4 linked regions of the Rattus norvegicus genome follow. The protein of the gene in region 2 purifies or fractionates together with the protein of the main gene of each other region. This does not show direct contact. Links are inferred from orthologs where the notes say so. Each region holds a gene or a part of one and is shown on either strand. Other genes may lie near its edges.

Region 1 (5,047 bases), on a different chromosome or scaffold from region 2:
GCCAGAGGATCCTTAGGGAAACAAATTGGTCAAAACCAAAGAATTTTGGTTGGTTGGTTTGTTCATTTCAGTCTAGATTTTCAGGTGTAGTTCACTTACATTCCTAAAGGGTATATTGCTATTTATATTTAATACATGTAGAAAATTATTTCTGAGTGCTTAGAGTACTGAATTCTTACTTGTTCTGGCCAACTTTTAACCTATTCTAGTTCATTCTAGTTTTATTCTATTCTAAAAAAAACATAAAATTGACTGTAATATATTTAGTTTCATTCTAAAGTTAAAAAAGTTAATGCTTTGCCCTGAGCGTCTTTGCTTGTGCTTCAGGGAAAGCCTCTGTACTTGACAGTTTGAGAGGTATGTAGTGCCATTAAAAAAGAAGAACATATATGAGACTGTGGGATCAGCATGCAGCACCCTCTACCCCCAGAGGGATTCTATTTCTAATTTAATTTTGCTGCAACCTGAAAGAATACTTTCTTATCATGTATACCTGGAAAGTTTGGTATTTGTATGCTTTCAGTTTAAAAGATTTTCAAACTTTATAGTAGACTAGGCATTTTTGTAAAAGTGAATAATAAGGCTATTAAGAACAGAAAGTGGGAGTATTGTTTTAATTAGAAATGGAAGAATGGTTAGAATCAAGAGCCATAAGAAAAGTGTAAGAAAGGCTGTGTTTCAGAGAGCATAGCTTTCTCCTGTGGAGTGAAGCTTAGAAGGCCATGCAGAACTGAAGAGCTGGTTGACAGCTTCATAGCAGCACTGTCCACCCGGAACAACTGTTTAAAAAAGTCATTGGTGGGCTGGAGAGATGGCTCAGTGGTTAAGAGCACCGACTGCTCTTCCAGAGGTCCTGAGTTCAATTCCCAGCAACCACATGGTGGCTCACAACCATCCGTAATGGGATCTGATGTCCCTCCCCTTCTGGTGTGTCTGAAGACAGCTACAGTGTACTCATACACAAAATAAATAAATAAATCTTTAAAAAAAAAAGTCATTGGTAAGGAATGCTTTGTGTGAACGTGTCTACATGCAGTTTTGTGACAATTCTGATAGCTCTTTTTGGCCTAGAAGTTTTTCTAAGTATATTAAAATAAAAATACCAAAATACTGTTTTTTCCTCCAGTTGACTCTTTGTACATCAGGATATCATTAGAAGTAGGAAAAAAGAAACCTTTGCAATTATGATCATGTGGTAAAGTAGCATTACTTTCAATACTCTGCCATAGCGTGATGACCTTCCTGGTACCGCTGGCAGGGATTTTAGTGAGGTGGTGTCACTGTTTCCATTTCTATACCAGGTAATTGTACAACAGCATAAGAAACTGCTGGACCAAGAACTTGAAAGTTAACCATTTCTCGCTGCTGTGGAAGTAGTTCAGTAGAGCATGCCAGTGGGATTCTGAGTTCAGTCTCCAGTACTGTGGGGGAAAGTACTTAACTGCACAGTCTTTTCATGCATGTGTATATGAGTTGTTTTTAAGAATGTATTTTTTCTTTGTACTCAACCAAATTTAACAGTTTTAATTTTTTATGCAAATTCACCCTTTGGTCACTGTTGAGGATTTAAGAACTATGGGGAAGGGGGCTCTTAAGCTTCTGTTAACTTTGACTAGCTGTGTACTCTTAACCTGCAGGAGATCTGAATCTCAATGTGGTGGCAATGGCTTTATCAGGGTATACGGACGAGAAGAACTCCCTGTGGAGGGAGATGTGCAGCACACTACGCTTGCAGCTCAACAACCCCTATCTGTGTGTCATGTTTGCATTTCTGACAAGTGAAGCAGGGGCCTATGACGGAGTTTTGGTGAGTTAGTTTGTTTCCCCAGATCCTCCTTTAAATTAATAGGGTTGCTTTTTTATAGTTTTGTTAATACAGTACTAAAACTGTTTCACGCTTTACCGAAAAACAACTGTAAACACATAACATGTATTTACTGTTTTAATACTGTGTGCGTGCCTGCATGCGAGGACAGCTGATGTTCACTCAGTTAGTTTTGGCTAAGGTGTCTTTACATCTTAAATAGACAGTCATTTTGAGACAAGTCCTGTTTGGAAAACCATGTAATCATGCTAATTATACTAATCTGTATTTTATTCAGTTTTTCAGGTCTCTTTGTTTCTTTCCTGATTTAGTCACTATATAAACATGTCACATGTCCCTTGTCATAACTGAGGAAAGAATGAAGTGAGGTTTCCCTATCCATTTCAGTTGTTAACTTAAAACATTAAAGCCACTTTGCTTTGTACTGTTTGTCATCTTTCCAGTAATGAAAAGAACTTTCTTTATTAAGGTTTATAAGACGTATATTGTTTCAGTGGTTGTCATTCTATAAGATCTGTAAAAGCATATATTTTATTGATTTATCATAAACTTATTACTACATTTGTTAAACAGAAGATTTTAATTGTTGTGTTTGAGCTAACAGTAAACTTTCAGCATGAGCTAGAGAGTGATAGAGTCGAAAAGGAAATGAACTGATTGCTTAATGTTTAAATATTACATTTCTGTATTTAATTAGTGACCTATAATAAGATCCCTTCTCTTATCCCCACAGCGAGAGCTGAGAAGGAAATTCATATATCCAAACTTTTTAAGAATGTATTTAATTTAATGTCTACGTAATTTTATTTTTTTATATTTTACCATAAGTACATACATACTGACTTTAGAAGTCAGAAAAGGCTCAAGTCTTTATTCTGCCACAGTGTTTAACCTTAGCTATTCAGTTAACTTTTAGGGCTCTAGTTTTCTCAGATATAAAATGGACCCAATTTTTTGATAAACCCATTTGTTTTTGTAGCACATGCAACTGAGTCGAAGAGCTTACTCACTTCTTAAAGATAGAGTTTCATTTTATAATTGAGGAACGGTAATGAGTATCAATGAAAAGAATATTAGATTTTAAGAAGGAAAACTCCTTCAAAGAAAGACTTTGATAGAAAGCCATCTTTTTGCTACCTATAAATTAATTTTTTCTTAATGCAAAATTTGTTGGAACTTTCTAAATTTATAGTAACATTATCAAAGTAAATTTTCAAATAATGTTGATGAATAAAATGCTACCTCTAATTATCCTATTGCAAACCACTCAGATAGCAGTATGAGACAGGGTGTCAGTTTACAAGTCTTAGGTTTTGCATTAAGAGTTATAGGTAGGCTTTTAAAAGGTAGGTTTATTTTTCTTTTATGTGTATGCACATTTTGCCTGGATGTATGTCTGCTCCATATGTTAGTATTGTCTAAGGAGACCAGCCAGATGTAAGCATTGGATCCCTGGGAATTGGAGTTGCAGGTGTTTGTGAGCCACCATGTGGGTGCTGGGGAATCAAACCGGGATCCTCTGGAAGAGTACCCGGTGTTCTTAACCACTGAGTCATCTTTGTAACCCCAAGTTATTAATATTTTAAATCTGTACTGGTATACCCAGGTCATAGATTTTTCTAGGTTTGGTGACTAATTTTTATGTAGCTGTTTCTAAAATTAATTGCTTTGAGAGAAATTACATGACATCTAGTTATAGTTTATGTTAGTGTTAGAAAACGGCCTGCTTTTTTACATCTATATAACTGAATTAGGTAGGTCTGTTTGAAAGATAAATCTTTACTGTTCAGGACAATGACCTTTGTACTGTGTTTCCTAATGATAACATCAGAAAGGCTTCTTTGGCAATTGATTTTTTTCAGCATCTGATCAGTACCTTTGTAATACATTTGAAAATAAACTTATAAATAAATGGCATGTATAATTATCTCCTCCTCTCCCCCCTCCCCGCCCCTCAGTATGAAAACAAAGTTGCTGTACGGGACAGAGTGGCATTTGCTTGTAAATTCCTTGGTGATGCTCAGGTGAGAACTGATTCAAATCTATATTTGAGATGATTAATGTTTACTATGAATTATTCTTAAGAAACTAATCTTTACATGTAATTATGTGCCTATAAGATTTCTATATAAAATCTAAGAAGGCAGTTATTATATTGAAATTATAAATAGGCATGTAATAACTAAATTTGTTTTAGAATGTTGAGTTGATGTTTTAGTTTATTTTTGCATTTTGAAGAAAACTCAGCAGATACAAATTTTAAACTCAGGTTTTAGTAATGTGATACACAGGAACCGTTTTCAGTATATTCACACTTACCTGCTGCCTCTGAGGGTAGTGAGGATGGAATGCACACAGATGGCTAGCGGTGCTGTAAATAGTGACAGGTGATAGGGAAATGTGGAGGAATGCAGGCTGGAGTTTGCATGGGATGAAGTGAGACTGTGGAAAGGAAATAGTTTTTATTGATGATTATAAACATATAGTTCTGATTCTGTGATACTGTTATATACTACCATAATAGACAAGAACTTGCTGAAAAGAGGACATTTCTCTCATTAGCCACCTATAAACATAGGAAATGTCCTACAGTTTTTTAAGTGATTGTGGGAACTAGGGAGATAGCACTGTCATTAAGGTGCTCACTGTGCAAGTTCAAGGCACCTGAATTGAATCCCCTAGAGCCCGTGAAAAACCTGAGTACAGCATTGTGTACTTGTCCTAGGGCACACATGCCACACAAAACTAAATTGATTGTGGATAGATACTATATTGAAACTTGAAATTGATGTAGACTTCTCAGCACATATTAGAGTTTGGCAAGGGTTTCTGACCTAAAATCATTTCCATCAAGAATAAAATTGTTCTAAATATAGTAATTCTCAGCTATAAAATATGTAGTGAAACAGATTGTATCAGAACAATCACTATGAATTTTTCAGTTAAATAAATACATTGAAAAGCTGACCAATGAAATGAAAGAGGCTGGGAATTTGGAAGGCATCTTGCTGACCGGCCTCACTAAAGATGGAGTGGACCTGATGGAGAGTTATGTGGACAGAACTGGAGATGTCCAAACAGCAAGCTACTGCATGTTACAGGTTAGTGTGGGGTGACACTGGCTTCAAAAAACCCGGCCTCATTCCACATGATCCGTGTTTCCTCACTAAAGGCCATATGCTCCCCCCTACACATGGATTTTGAGTTTGCACTTTGACTGCA
Region 2 (5,047 bases):
TACAGTCACTCGGCAACAGCACAAAAGCCAAACAGGAACTGCCACAATCCCAGCACCTGGGAGGCAGAGGCAGGCAGAGCTCTGTGAGTTCAAGGCCACTGGTCTGCTTTGTGAGTGTAGATTCACAGGCTAGCTACGTGAGCTGCCCAGTGTGGTGGCCTGGGGTGTGGAGGAACGGAGTGGAGTCTCCCAGAGGGCCATGAGGGAGTAGATGGTAATTACTGGGTCCTTCCTACAGGGCTTTGAAGCCGCCCGTGACATAGAAGCTCTGATGGAACGCATGAGGCAGCTTCAGGAGAGCCTCCTGCGGGATGAGGGGGCTTCCCAGGAGGAAATGGAGAACCGTTTTGAGCTGGAGAAGACGGAAAGCCTGCTGGTGACCCCCTCAGGTACAGGCTCACAGGCGCCAGTGCTAGGGGCTGCTGCCTCTCTCTTTACACTTCTGATGGGAGCAGATGCCTCCACACGCTTTGCCTTCTCCTTTCAAGAGGTTCTGAGCACCGGCCTTGTGTTCAGACTTGCCTTTGAATCCTGGTCTGTTAGCGCTTCAGGGCTTGGGTGAGGTAGATGGGCCAAGTTTCTTCCCCAGATTGAGCCATTCTATAAAACTGACACTATTACTGTTGCGGGGGGCTAGGGGGCTGGTTTGACGCTTGCCTCCTTCCAGCGGCTCTAGCTAACACCCTCCTACTTAGTGTGGGGAGGGGCTCTCTGTGGCCCCTGCTGTATTCCCCCCCTCACCCTCCCCACTCCCTGATGGTGGGGATCCTGTTGTGTTCTGCCCAGTCTCACTGTCCCCTCTTTCTGATGTGGCCCTCAGCGGATATTCTGGAGCCCTCTCCACACCCAGACATCCTATGCTTTGTAGAGGACCCCACGTTTGGATATGAAGACTTCACTCGTCGAGGGACTCAGGCCCCCCCAACCTTTCGTGCCCAGGTGTTGTTCATTGTTTCAGATGTTATACAGACGTGGGGGCAGGTACTTCAAGCGGTCCTAAGTAGGATACTGTCTCCCCTCAAAAACTCGTGAGGGCAGTGGAGACCCGAAAGGTCCCTCTTGTGGGATGGGAGGTCATCGCCCAGGTTGAGATCTGTGGTTGAGGGAAGGCATATGAGGCAAAGCTAAGGTGTGACTCCTACTCGTGCAGAGGACAACAGATCTCTGGCCAGCCACGGCCTTCCCAAGTCTTGCTCACAGACCTCTTCCCCCATTCCTCAGGATTATACCTGGGAAGACCATGGCTACTCGCTGATCCAGCGGCTCTACCCCGAGGGAGGGCAGCTGCTGGATGAGAAGTTTCAGGTAGCCTACAGCCTCACCTATAACACCATCGCCATGCACAGTGGCGTAGACACCTCCATGCTCCGCAGAGCCGTCTGGAACTACATCCACTGCGTCTTTGGTATCAGGTGAGTACGTGCCCCGCCCCAAGCTCAGGTCGCGTGTGTCCCCCAAGTCTTCCCTGGGCTCACTGTCATTTTTAGTTCTTGTTGTCTTCTTGGCTCTAATAAAATTTCAGGCCACCACGTTTATGCCTTTGCAGGTTTAAAGCTAGTAAGAATGCTCAGTGCGCAGGCTCTGTAATACACTCTCCCAGGCATAACTAGGCTTTGCTCTGTTTGCTTATGCAGCACTCAGGATTGAACCCACGACCTTGTGCGTGCTAGACGGGCAGCACCCTTTGTTTTATTTTATTTTGTGTTGTTTTATGTCACTTTACTTTTTTTTTTTTTTTTTTTGGTTCTTTTTTTCAGAGCTGGGGACTGAACCCAGGGCCTTGCGCTTTCTAGGCAAGCGCTCTACCACTGAGCTAAATCCCCAGCCCCACTTATTTGTTTTTGATGTCTTGGGATGTCACCTCAACTAGCCTAGAACATGTATGGTTCAGGCTAACCTTGAACTTGGGACAATCCTCCTGCCTTAGCTTCTTAGCTGCTGGGCTTACAGACCTACTCCACCAAAGACGTACTCCAGCTTATGATTTCATGTTTTTGTGTGTGTATTCACACACCTATGCACATACAGAAACATGTGCATACGTATGTGCACGATACCCAGAGTCACGTGTAAATTTCCAATAGCGTTATCTTTTCTCACAGTAAATAAGGACAACACAGATATGCACAGCAGAGTACTTTAAATAAGGATATTTCCATTCATAATCTATTATGCAACTCGTGAAAATTATACCTGAGAGCCAGGCATGTGGACAGTGGTCATGTACACAGAATAATGTTGTGAGCTAAATTTTATCTTGTCAAGTCTTTTCCTGATTTCAAAACAATTATGTATATATTTTCTTTGTATGTTTGTGCGCGCGCGCGCACACACACACACACACACACACACACACACACACACACGTGTGTGTGTGGCACAACATATATGTAGAGGTCAGAAAGAAACTTACTGGAGTTGGTTCTCTCCACCATTTGGAGCCCAGGGATCAAACTTGGGTCATCAGTCTTGACGGCAAGCTCCTTTAACCATTGAGCCATCTCGCCTGTCCGCTGACTGGTTTTTGAGGAAGGCCTTTTTTAGAGTGATGTGCTATTTACTGTTGAGTATTGAGGGTTCTTCTCGAAGTTGATTTGGTTTTCCTTTTGTTCTTTTTCCCCCTTTCCTACCTCCTCCCCTCTCCCCACTGCCAAGAAGGAGTCTCAGAGGCTCTGTTAGCTCCCTGGGACCCCTCTGCCTCTTTGACCACCCTGGTGCTGAGATAATAGGCCACCACCACCCTCAGCAGTTTTTACTCTTTTTTTTTTTTTTTTTTTTTTCGGAGCTGGGGACCGAACCCAGGGCCTTGCGCTTGCTAGGCAAGCGCTCTACCACTGAGCTAAACCCCCAACCCCACTTTCATTTATTTTTATCCACGTGTCTGTGTCTGTGTGAGTGCATGCCATGCACGTGTGGGTGCCTAAGCTTTCCAGAAGAGGGCATCAGATCCCCTGCACCTGGAACCACCTGACATGGGTGCTGGAAACTGAACTTGTGTCCTCTGGATGATCGCCAAGTGTTCTTTTTTAAAAGATTTATTATTTATGTCTGTGAGGAGTGCTTTCTTTGCACCTCTGCCTTCATGGCAGAAGAGGGCATCAGATGCAATTACAAGTGATTGTGAGCCTATGTGGTAGTGGTACTTAAACTCAGGACCTCTGGAAGAGCTGACTATGATCTTTGTTTTTTTTCCGGAGCTGGGGACCGAACCCAGGGCCTTGCGCTTCCTAGGCAAGCGCTCTACCACTGAGCTAAATCCCCAACCCCCCAGTTTTTACTCTTATAAACACTGTCCACACTGACCACTCTCCCGCACACGGTGGAACAGAATCTAACCGAGGACAACAGGTGTTCTTATAGTTAAATGCCCAAAATAACATGACTTATCTAAGAGATATAGAGACAACTATATTGTTTGTTTGTTTGTTCTTGAGATGTCTCATGACAGCCCAGGTGAACCTTGAACTCCTAGCAGTCTGTCTTAGTGTCTCTAGTGCTGGGATTGTGGGTGTGAGCTGATTACCTGGCTCCTGGCTTTTTCTTCCTGTTGTCTTTTTTTTTTTTGGTTCTTTTTTTCGGAGCTGGGGACCGAACCCAGGGCCTTGCGCTTCCTAGGTAAGCGCTCTACCACTGAGCTAAATCCCCAGCCCCGTCTTTTCTTTTCTTTATTTCTTTCTTTTGATTGATTTATTTTTGTGTACACCTGCAATCTCAGCACTGGAAAGGCCAAGACAGGAAGATCAGGAGTTCACGGCCATCTGTGGCTATTTAACAAGTTCAGGAGCTGGGCTACAGGACTCTCCAAACAACTGTAAAACCCAGCGACACTCTTCAGGAGAGCGCCTAATTTTATTATTACCAGGCGTTTCCTTCCTGCCTTTTTTCCCATGCACACACATGAACGAGACCAGGGAGGGAGAGGGGAGTGGCTTCTCGACACTGCCAATTTGCTTGCTTCTGATGAACTCCATTTATCGTGTACCACCGGAGTATCTGCCTTTGCGGGTCCGTGACTGGAGACAGTCAGAGCTCGGTAGCGCATGCTTGTCAGCGTTACTTGGAGTGTTCCTCTACGAGCCTTGTCACCTATGACCCGTGATGTCAGCTGTTTTTCTAAGAGGAACCAGGCCTCTCACGGCTTCCTACCTTCTCCTTCTTCTGGGCACTCTGTTCCTCCTTCTATGGGGTGGGGGCAGGGGAGCCGGGCTGCTTCTGGGAGCAGACTCTGAGTAATGCTGTCGTGTCTGTCTGTCCATCAGATATGATGACTATGATTATGGAGAGGTAAACCAGCTCCTGGAAAGGAACCTCAAGATCTATATCAAGACGGTTGCCTGCTACCCGGAGAAGACGACCCGCAGAATGTACAACCTCTTTTGGAGGCACTTCCGCCACTCAGAGAAGGTGATGGCAGCGTGGGTGTGGGAGGGGCTGGAGAAGAGTCAGAGGTTAGAACCCGGTGAGGGCCACACTGTGGGTCTGTCCTACGAGGTGTGACACCCTGGCCTGTTATCTTTGTTCAGATTCGATTCTACGGTGTAATTTCAGACTTCAGTTAAATTGGGCAGTCAGGTGCCTGTCTTCCACAGGCTACGTGGGCATAGATGCAGATTTTTTTATTTGTTTGGTTTTTTATTTTTTTGAGACTTTTTTCTGTGTAGCCTCGACTGTCCTGGAACTCACTCTCTATGCCAGGCTGGCCATGAACTCTCACGAGATCTGCCTGCCTCTGTCTCCTAGGTGATGGGATTAAAGGCGTGTGCCGCCACCACCACCACCCCCAGTCATAGGAGTGGATCTAAATCCTCACATAGGACAAGTTACCTTTGAGCGTCTCCCCTTTATTTTTTTTTTTTTTTTATGGGGCTGGGGACTGAACCCAGGACCTTGCGCTTCCTAGGTAAGCGCTCTACCACTGAGCCAAATCCCCAACCCCGCGTCTCCCCTTTATAATGGCAAGGGACACTGCCAGCATTTCAAAGTTGGGAAGACACAAGGAGACTATGTATGGAAACATTTGATCCTGCCCTAGCACCAGTTAAGCTGG
Region 3 (5,047 bases), on a different chromosome or scaffold from region 2:
ATACGGGAAGTCGACACAGCGGACACTTGGAGCGTTGGGCTAAATGCCTGGATTTAGACATGGAATCTTTTTTTTTTTTTCCTTTTCTTTTTTTCGGAGCTGGGGACCGAACCCAGGGCCTTGCGCTTGCTAGGCAAGCGCTCTACCACTGAGCTAAATCCCCAACCCCTAGACATGGATTCTTGAAGGAGTAGTTATACCAAACCCAGGAGTGGAAAGGTAGATGCCGATGGCTCCCGACCACGCACTCACAGTGCCTGCAGTGTTTCAGGTTGCAGTGTTAGGCTGATGCAGTCTGCATCTCTTGTCTTCTCACTCTACCCTTACTGACCTCATGAGATTGGATAGCCACAGGTTACCAAGAAGCAAAAGGAAGGTTGCCGGGCATGAGACTAAATCCACAGCAAGTGATTAACTAGGGTTAAATTGCCTATGGCCATATTAAGCCAGAACGCTTGTACCTTAGTTTTCTGCTGTCAGATTGTAAGCCCCTTTTTAATTGGTCCTTATGCCTCTCCTGTTAATAAATGTGCTGCTCCCTTACTCAGTCAAGTGACTTTGGTGACCTCTTTCAACTTTTGGAAATAAAATAGGACATTGCTCCCATGACTGGTTGTCCTTTTGAAGATACCAGATAGGACGACACTGTTACTTTCCGTTTCCCAGGACATTTCTCATTCCTCACAGCCACTTCCCGGGACAGCTCTGGGAGCCGAAACGTGCCCATGGTCTCCCATGTCTTTTACTCAGTTTCCCCAACTAAGTGTCTTTGACCTTCAGAAATGACCGCTTGTAGAAATAATTCAGGCCTGCTCCAAAAACAAGGCAATTCTTATGCTGCCAAGTGTCTCTGTCTTCATACGTTAAAGTTTGCAGAGCCCACACTGTCGTGTCTGAATTAAAATACCAACAAACCCTCCTGAACTGTCTACGAAGAAAAAAAAAAGTCTTTGAATCGTTTCAGGCAAGAACTTTAAACCTAGTACTGAACACCCTAAAGCCCCCCCATCCCATTTGTGGGGGGTCTTTACTAACTTCTTTACCTGCTGTTTTTAAGTTAATTAATTCTGGCTTCCTAGTACCTGCTTTGAATACCTGCCCAGCGTAATGGCCCTCCAGCAGGTGCTCCGTTCCCTGTGAGGGTCTGGGGTCAGGAGCTCTGGGCCTTTGGTTACCTTTTACTTCCTACAGATGCTGATTCATGTAATTGTGGGCATGATGTAATTTAGAGTCTCTGCAAATTACCAATGACCCAAATATGATGTACTCTGCAACTGTAGGTTTCCACTCTCCGGAGGCCCCATTAGTCACATCTTGTCATCTCCCCTAGAAATCAAGGCGGTGGAAAAGTAAGCGGGAGGGCTCCGACTCTGGCAACCGACCCATTAAGGCCGCTGGGAAGGTCATCATCCAGGATGTCTCGTGCCTCCTTCCTGTTCACAAGTCCCTGGGAGAGCTGTACATGTAAGTCCAAGGTCACAGATGACACCGAGCGTGTCCCTTAGGACCTGCGGGTCTTTTTAAAGCTTTGGATGATTTGGGGAAACACGGTGGGTGTGTTAGCTTTCTGTTGGTGACTCACAAATTACCAGACTGTGGCTTCATTTCCTACCTCACTGTCTCTGCAGGTCAGGTACAGGCTCTCACCTGACTGAAAGCATGACCTCGGCCCATAAATGGTCTCCTCCGATGCTCAGGGTCCAGCAAGCCTGGACTTAGACCCTTCTTGTATTGTTAAATCCTTCTCGTATTGAAAGACAGTAGGGAGTGGAGGCTGGCCTGTAGGTCCTCCAGGTCCTTGAACACATAACAGAATACTCCCAGCACAATACTTTTCTGATGGAAATCACAGTTGGTTTGCACATATTTAAATCCCAGACCTTGTGAACTCAACAGAAAGGCTGGTAGCTAATTAGTATTTTTCTTATTGCCACCTCCTGAAAGTGGTGGGTGTTTCTGGTCCCCCAGGGGGGAACCCACAGCCCTATAGCACCAGATCTAATTAACCCTTCCCTCCCTGTCAGAGGAGGTGTCGTGAGTGACAACCAAAGAGGCACTTTCTAGGCTGTTAAATCAGGAGGAATTCTTGGGAAATTCGAGTAGAAACCTTCTTAGTCTTTTCTGTTTTAATTTCAGATTGAATGTGAACGATACTCAGGAGACGTGTCAGAAGAATGCTACTTCTGCCATGCTTGTTGGAAGGAAGGATCTCGTCCAGGTATTATCATTCCCTGTTGGCGAGGTTCTGGCCTTGACAGCTGTCAGTTAGTGATGCTCATAGCGTGTGCCCCCTATTTGAAGTTTCTTTTTTATTTTCTTTGACAGCCTGTAGGACTCAGCAGCCTCCCTCTCCTCCCTCGTCCCCTGTCCCCTGTCCCCTCTCCTCCTCTTCTTCCTCCTCCCCCTCTTCTTCCTCCTCCTCCTTCCCCTCTCTCTCTCTCTCTCTCTCTCTCTCTCTCTCTCTCTCTTCCTCTCTCTCTCTCTTTCTCTCTCTCCTGGAACTTCTTCTGTAGACCAGGCTGGCCTCTAGCTCAGATCTGCCTGCCTCTGCCTCTTGAGTACTGGGATTATAGGGAAGCCCCACCACTGCCACCTGTGGGTAATTTTTTAAAATTGTGGGAAGATCCTGAAGTGGCTTTTTTTTCTTAAACTTTCTATTTCAATGCCACAGTGATTATTGTCACCTAAATTTGAGGATCTGTACCTTTGTCATTTCACCTCAATTACTTTTTGAAACTTTTAAAAAAATATTTCATAAGGTTTACCAGAATGTATTTCAAGGTAGAGATGTTCAGTTCAGGGGGTTGGAGAGATGGAAAGGTGGCTGGAGCGTTGGCTGCTCTGATAGAAGGCCAATTCCCAGCACTCGTGTGGTGTCTCACATCTCTAACTCCAGTTCCAGGGGATCCAACCCCCTCTTCCGTCCTCCTCTGGCACCAGGCATGTGCATGATATTCATACCCGAAGGCAAAACATTCTTGCTTTTAACATAGTAGTAAATATTTAAATAATAATATATGACATTTATAAGATGTCAGTTTCCTTCATCTCTGTGGTTCTCATGGCTTGTTCTCTTTTATTGAGACTCAGTCTGCACATCACGAGTCTGCCCACTTAAAATGTGATACTTAGTGTATCTAGTGTTGTCAGAGCTCTCATTAGAAACTGCTCAAAGTGTTTTTTATCATCCATAGAAGAAACCATTGTCCTTCAGTCGGTTCTTCCCATCAGTCCTGGGCAACCGCCAACTGCTTCCTGTCTTTCTTTCTCTCTGTTCTCTAGTTGATTGCTAGACTGAGCTTTGGAAGTGACTAGCAGGTCTCCCAGCAGCTCACTGCTTTCCCTCATAACTAAATGAATCAACACTAAGGCCTTTTCTTGATTTTCATTTGATTAAAAACATCCCTAAGATTTCCATTCATCTAGTAATGAATATCACATCATCTCTCCCGGAAACCCTTTAAAGAAAAACTCCCTCATGGATTTAATCTATTTCTGTCAGCCCCACCCACCAGACTGAACACTAAGAAGGCAAAATGAGCTAATAGGAACAGCGTGGAATTTACAGTGGAGGCCAAGGCCAGCTCAGAGTCCTAGAAAACACCCCAGGCAAGTTATCTCAGGCCCTCAGCCTTTGAGGGAGTTTATAGTGTGAGAACCAGAAGAATTTCCTCCATGGGGTTGGTGAGATCAGTGAAGGCTGCTCCATAGCCCCAAAGAACAGAACATTCTCTCAGTAGGGAGTTCTCTCCCTCTTCCTTATTCTCTTCTGCACCTCTCTGCGCGCTCGCTCTCTCTCTCTCTCTCTCTCTCTCTCTCTCTCTCTCTCTCTCTTCTTCCTTCTCTCCACTCCCCTGCTTCCTTTTTCTTTTCCCTCTCCCTAGCTCCTCCCCCTCTCCCCCAGTGCTTTTCTGACAGAATTGGTATAGAAAGCTAGACCAGTCTCAGTGATGGGGAGACTCTTGTCTTCAGGCACCCCCTGCTTGACTTCTGGGCCCTAGCACTTTTTCTGTGTGTGATCCCCAGCAAGCTGCTCAGGCTTTCTGAGCCTCAGAGTCCCTGCTATAAAATAAACAGTGCAATACTTCTGACTTCATTAGATAATAAAAGAAGTAAACTTTGTGACTTCTAGCCGTCTGATCACTGGAAATGCCTGCTTTCTGTATTGTATATTTCCACAGCTGTTCAGCGATTGTTGTTCATAACTTGATGTTTAAAGACAGAAATTACCCGAGCGACAATGAGTGCTCCAAGAATTTTATTGTTTTTCTTCCTGCCTTTGATAAAGATATGCTTCCTGTTTTGTGTCCCTCACATTTACCAGAGAAACAAATGCAAGGGCGCCCTTCTGTGGAAACCCTTTAGGAAATGTGCATTATGGAGGGAGACACTAACACAACTCAATCGTCAGCCACGGCAGAACATCTGTCCTGCTGTCTCTCCTTGGAGAGAGACTTGTACGTCGCTTTCAGCATGTTGCCGTCACGCTAGTATTTTACACATCTAATGTTTGCCTTCTGGCATTTGTATTTACTTGCTCATCTCAAATTATAGACTTGATTCAAAGTTCGTGTCTTCTTCCTTTTGGGTTTAGAGTGGTGTATTCCAATGACTGTATTGCTTTTCCTGAGCCAAACAAAACAGAAGAGATTTTCCAAAAGTAATATTCAATTTTCTGAAGGGTCTCAAGGGGTTGGGGCTCTTTCTGATGGGTAGTGAAGGCCTTGGGCTTAATAGACATTTAATGGACATTAGTGTGGTGATTCTAAGCCCCATAAGGTTTGAGGCCTGGGTGACTATCAGACTTCATGTCAACATAAACAAAGCCAAGGTTGTTTAGTTCTTGGCCTGTTCTTTAGCTTCAAGAGGGCCCTAAAACTTTCGTAATGGAGGTGACAGTGTTCTCTAGCCATTGCACAAAGACCAGGTCCTCAGTGGGTTGTGGACTGCTCTGCTCTCTGCCAATCCAGTTCACCAATGAAGCATCAGAAGAGGCCAAGAGTGCCGAAGAGCTGGCCCCTTGAGTTGTGATACTGTTTATCTCTGA
Region 4 (5,047 bases), on a different chromosome or scaffold from region 2:
AACAACAAAAAACAGACAAAGCAGTTCGTTTGGTTACACCACATGGCCTTGACACTAGAGGAAGAAGCTCTTGAGAGAACCAGGTTTTCATTGTTGTCCAAGGAGGTTGAAGTGGCAGTTTCAATTGGGTGGTAGCTGGGAGAGAATCAGGGCTCACTTTAGAGGGGAAGGAGTTGGCACGCACTCCCAGAAGGCAGAGGTTGGGTGAGCCAGAGCTAGGGCCTGTTATTGATTGGTAGGTGGTATGAGAACCAGCCAAGGAAGAACTGGCATGTGGGCACTGTGTGGCTCGGAGGCTGTGATCACTGGGACACAGGGCCTTCCTTCACTGGTTCTTTGAAAACCTTAGGCTTTGGGGACAACAGGTCACAGACTGTCAAACAATTTTCCTAAGCTCTGCAGTCTTAGGGATTTATTATTTGAGAAATCCCTAATCTACAACCCTCGTGCTCCTGCTCTGCATGTACTTAGAAAACTGGGTGTGGGTGTTGGGGACCAGCTCGAGAGACATTTTTATTGGCTTGAACATTTTAAGAGCTCTGGAGATTGAACCCAGAGCTGTATGGTAGACAGGCACCCCATCGCTGAGCAACATTTCACCCACATGGTAGGGAAAACCTGGATCCTGTAGGTTCTCCTCTGACCTCCACATGCACATAAATGATGGTGGTGGTGGTGGTGGTGGTGGTGGTGGTGGTGGTGGTGGTGGCGGTAGTGGAGGAGGAGGAAGAAGAAGACGAAGAAAAGAAGTAGTTCAGGTAACCTAGGTAACCTTTATAAGAAGCAAGACCCTGCTGGGTACGATGGCACCTGCCTTTAGTTCCAGCACCAGGAAAATAGGTAGAGCTCTGAATTTGAGGCCTACCTAGTCTACATAGAGAATTCCAGGCCACCGGGAGCTATGCAACGAGAACCTGTGTCAAAAAAACAAAAACCCATGGCAAGACCTCCACCTGCTACTGTGAAGGAAGGATGGGAGTGACAGGCCAAGGGACAAGAGAGCAAGCAGCTAGAAAACCTTTCATAAGAGTTTGTTAGAGCTGGGCTGTGGTGGACCATGCAGTTGAAAGGCAGAGGCAGTCAGATCTCTGTGAGTTAGAGGCCAACCTGAGTGAGTTTCAGAACAGCCAGGGTTACACATACACAACCTGTACTTAGGACATGAGTGAGCTCCAGAGCAGCCAGGGTTACACATACACAAATTCTGTCCTGGAAAACAACAGAAAGAGTTGGTTAGAGAGCTCCAGGCCCCCACTCAGCCAGCTGATGGCTTTCATGTCCAGTACGTGATGCACCTGACCTTTCTGCTACACAAGCTAAGGCACCAACCTGGAAATGGGCATCAGGAACGAGCAAAGGGACAAGTGGCCCAGCATTTCAGCCTCACTGGCCTGACAACAGCTGAAGAATCCTTGCTGAGGGGAGGCCAAATGCTCTAACAAAGAACACCAGCTCCTGGTAGCTGGGTTTTCTTGGTGCCTGCCTCTGGAAGCTGACAATGGTCCTGGTCCTGCCAACAGTGTCTTGCTGGTGTCTTTAGGATCAGAAGCCGTGGACCACTATCTCACAGGGTCAGCCCTCTGGGAACTCCACCTTTGAGTAGTCAGGAACCTTTGCTAGAAAATGTTATGGGTAAGTCCCATGTGCCTTGGGGAGGGCTGACCACTGAGTATGCTCTCCAAGGAACAGCCAGACCTGATCGGCGCCTGACAGCCATGAACCACAAAAAATGTAAAAGCCTCTGGAGAAGACTCAGGAAGCTGTGATACAGAAGGGGAGATATAGCCTTGACAGTAGAGAGAAGACAAAAGCCCAGTGCAAGCAACATCCACACATTTACATAGTGTTACATAGTTTTTTATTTGTTTTAAGCCAAAGGTTGTCTCTTAAAAGGACAGGGAAAGGAAGGTAAATATTGACAGGGTAGGAAATAAACAAATGTGAACTTGAACCAGGGGGACTAGGACTGTGGGGGTTGAAAGGCCCACAGTGGGACTCAGGTGGGTTGGTGTGTGGTTGGGAAGGAACTGGTGAAGCTGTGGGGTGCTGTCCTTTGGTTCATTTATTAGAAAAGCAGCACAAGTGAACCTGTGTCCCTAAGCCCTCACCACAAACATGTGCCTGCTGCTAGACTGGCTGGGTGCTCTCTAGCCTCAGGGCCACACACTGAGCTAAACATTGGAGTCCGGGTGTAATTGTCACTTCATGAGGCCTTGTGTGTCGTGGCCTCCAGCAGTCATGGCTAGGCATTCTGCCCATGTATAGTACTGGCCTGGCCTCTGCAGCCTGCTTTCCTATTGGGTTGGGAGAAACAGGTTCCTCCTGGGGGCACTGGTTTGGAGGAAGGGAAAGGGCTAAAGTGATGCATGGTGTGTTAGTTACCAAGGCTGGGATTGGGAGAAGCTCAGCTCTTTGTTTCTGGTCTGTGGGGTTGGCACATGGTCTGTCATGTCACCTAGTTATCTGGTCATATCTAGAGCTATGTGGCTATCCTTGTGCTGGCTGCTTGTGCCCTAGTCCGTATGCTTTGTTGGGGACGGAGTCTGAAAGCACTTCCTCAGCCCACAGATCCCAGATCCCAGAGATAGATGCAGGAAGGCCTCTGGATTTGACAGCTTGATTCCTTCTCTCTAGGCATCGAGGTTGACATTGATGTGGAACATGGAGGGAAGAGAAGCCGCCTGACACCCACCTCTGCAGAAAGTTCCAGCACAGGCACAGAAGATAAGAGTGGTACTCAGCCAAGCAGCTGCTCTTCGGAAGTCAGCAAACCTGACGGGGCCGGGGAGGGCCCTGCTCAGTCTCTGACAGAGCAGATGAAGAAGATAGCCTTGGAGTCGGTGGGACAGCCAGAGGTAGGTCTGCTAGCGTCAGCCTGAGGGGTCCTGTCCCTCCTGCTGTCTCTGTGGTGTGTGTCTTCAGCACCCTGAGCCTTACCTGACATGTATGAGGTCCCAGGTCTTATGCAGGCAGCTCTCCAGTGCCTGGAATGGGCCACACTTTGCTGGGACTTGTCAGTGGCTCAGGCCCTGCCGCTCACAGCAGGTTGTATTCCAGGAACTGATGGAGTCGGATAACTGCTCAGGAGGGGATGACGACTGGACGCATTTGTCTTCTAAAGAAGTGGACCCATCCACAGGTGAACTCCAGTCTCTACAGATGCCAGAATCGGAAGGGCCAAGCTCTCTAGACCCCTCACAGGAAGGCCCCACAGGGCTGAAGGAAGCTGCCCTGTACCCACATCTCCCACCAGGCATGTGGTCACCAGAGGTTTCCTTTTCCTTCTTTGCGTTCAGTGTCCTGTCCTGTCCTGTCCTGTCCTGTCCTGTCAACACAAAAGAGGTAGCCTGGCTTGGGGGTTAAGGTGGTGCCCTAGTCTTTGAGTGCTCCAGGTGGCTTGTCTTCAGGACATGACCTGCAGTGACAGCTGTCACTGCCAGCTGACATTAGAGAAAACTAGAACGTGGTTCATACTCCATCGGCATCAAGCAGCAGTAACCTCATCTCATTTTTAGGAATTCCTAGATGTCAGTGCCCAGGGGTTCTGAGAAGGCACATGGGACAGGGAAGGCAACGCTGGCTTTGCGTGGCTACCAGCTATGAAGTGGACTCAGACTCTGTACACCCTTTCCTCGGGGGTGGGGGTTGTAAACCTTACTGGCAGGTACCACAGCCAAGGCCCCAGTGGAAGCCAGACTGAAGTTTGTGTAAAGTGCTGGACAGGGATGGGCAGTCCCAAGTGGATGCCCCGTGGAAGAGGCAGCTGGCTACCCCAGAGCAACAGGGTTTAAGTGGGTGGTTCATCTCTGGGCCACATCTGGTGTTTGGGCTTCAAAGAGTATTTTCTTTGCAAAGAGCAGAGGCAGCAAACCGTTGCATGGGTAAGTCTGGGGGAGGTACTCTGTCATGGGTTCAAGGCCACCCTCTGTACCCCCATGACAGACTGCTTAGCTTAAATGTGCAAGGCTCTGGGATGGAGTCACAGCCTGGTTTAAAAACAAAACAAAAACAAGGCAGGGTTATGGGAGCTATAGAACTGGCTCATTGGGTAAAGTACATGCAGGAAGGCCCAGAATTTGGGTTCCCATAACTCGTGTAAAAAGCTAAAGGTGAGCATTTGTGTCAGCTGTCTATAGTCCCAGCCCTTAGGAGGCAGGCAGACTCCCATTACAAGTTGGCTATGTGATTGGGTAAGCTATGGGTTCAGACACCCTAACTCGATCAAGTACAGAGCAATAGAGGAAGAGCCTTACTTCGGCTCTGGGCCTCCACACTTTCACACATACATGTGCACCCACATGGGAATGAATATGAGTACACATGCTACATATGCCAAATAATAGAGGGAGGAGTCAGAGAGGCAGTTAGAGATGGACATTTCATCATCTGTAAAGGGTTAGTTTTGAGATGGTGTCTTGTTGCCTGCTTCCAGCTCGAGTGTTGGGATTACAGGCTTGAGCAGAATTAACTGCACTGTTTTGTCTACATAGCTCCTGGCTGTTTTATGCTTCAATGGCAGGACCAACAGTTGTGACAAGACTGGAAAGTCTGCAAAGCAAGCTGTTTGTCCCTTCAGCCTGTGAGGGTTCCTGTAAGGCTGAAGCAGAGGGGTCTCCATGGCAGGTGGAGCTGCTCTGTTCTCAGTGCTGCGGGGCTCCTTACTTTCCTGTCTTGCTTTGGCAGAGGCTGATCCCCGGCTGATTGAGTCACTCTCTCAGATGCTGTCCATGGGTTTCTCGGATGAAGGCGGCTGGCTCACCAGGCTCCTACAGACCAAGAATTATGACATCGGGGCTGCTCTGGACACGATCCAGTATTCAAAGCACCCTCCACCATTGTGACAGTGCTGTGGCCAAGTCCCACAACCCACCTCCCTTGTCTTCTAGTTGCATCATGTAGAGTAGCAGGGCTTCTAAGGCCCAGTGTCTTGGCATTCTTCTAGAACCTTCAGGTGGGACTGTGAGGCCTTCTTAGGCAGTAGGAAAGTGCATGAGAAGAGAGTCTGAGTGTGCACATGCTGACCCCTGAGCACAGATCCAAGCAGCTG

The links. The genes of interacting proteins can lie anywhere in the genome.
Region 1: the proteins of Sesn2 (region 2) and Mios purify together in Homo sapiens (affinity purification with western blotting; 5 studies listed by BioGRID and IntAct, with this or other methods). This does not show direct contact. The link is inferred for Rattus norvegicus from reciprocal best matches to the Homo sapiens genes SESN2 and MIOS.
Region 3: the proteins of Sesn2 (region 2) and Wdr59 purify together in Homo sapiens (affinity purification with western blotting; 4 studies listed by BioGRID and IntAct, with this or other methods). This does not show direct contact. The link is inferred for Rattus norvegicus from reciprocal best matches to the Homo sapiens genes SESN2 and WDR59.
Region 4: the proteins of Sesn2 (region 2) and Sqstm1 purify together in Homo sapiens (affinity purification with western blotting; 3 studies listed by BioGRID and IntAct, with this or other methods). This does not show direct contact. The link is inferred for Rattus norvegicus from reciprocal best matches to the Homo sapiens genes SESN2 and SQSTM1.

Annotation. Positions count from the first base shown.
Region 1 is NC_086022.1:37,242,960-37,248,006, forward strand, and holds part of Mios (GATOR complex protein MIOS), read left to right. Parts: intron 1-1,637; coding exon 1,638-1,807; intron 1,808-3,783; coding exon 3,784-3,849; intron 3,850-4,767; coding exon 4,768-4,926; intron 4,927-5,047. UniProt on the Homo sapiens protein: As a component of the GATOR2 complex, functions as an activator of the amino acid-sensing branch of the mTORC1 signaling pathway. The GATOR2 complex indirectly activates mTORC1 through the inhibition of the GATOR1 subcomplex.
Region 2 is NC_086023.1:149,987,528-149,992,574, reverse strand, and holds part of Sesn2 (sestrin-2), read left to right. Parts: intron 1-238; coding exon 239-389; intron 390-820; coding exon 821-939; intron 940-1,221; coding exon 1,222-1,412; intron 1,413-4,259; coding exon 4,260-4,404; intron 4,405-5,047. UniProt on the Homo sapiens protein: Functions as an intracellular leucine sensor that negatively regulates the mTORC1 signaling pathway through the GATOR complex. In absence of leucine, binds the GATOR subcomplex GATOR2 and prevents mTORC1 signaling.
Region 3 is NC_086037.1:56,336,974-56,342,020, reverse strand, and holds part of Wdr59 (GATOR2 complex protein WDR59), read left to right. Parts: intron 1-1,330; coding exon 1,331-1,464; intron 1,465-2,136; coding exon 2,137-2,218; intron 2,219-4,324; coding exon of another isoform or gene 4,325-4,507; exon of another isoform or gene 4,508-5,047. UniProt on the Homo sapiens protein: As a component of the GATOR2 complex, functions as an activator of the amino acid-sensing branch of the mTORC1 signaling pathway. The GATOR2 complex indirectly activates mTORC1 through the inhibition of the GATOR1 subcomplex.
Region 4 is NC_086028.1:35,027,029-35,032,075, reverse strand, and holds part of Sqstm1 (sequestosome-1), read left to right. Parts: intron 1-2,634; coding exon 2,635-2,855; intron 2,856-3,057; coding exon 3,058-3,253; intron 3,254-4,683; coding exon 4,684-4,841; 3' UTR 4,842-5,047. UniProt on the Homo sapiens protein: Molecular adapter required for selective macroautophagy (aggrephagy) by acting as a bridge between polyubiquitinated proteins and autophagosomes.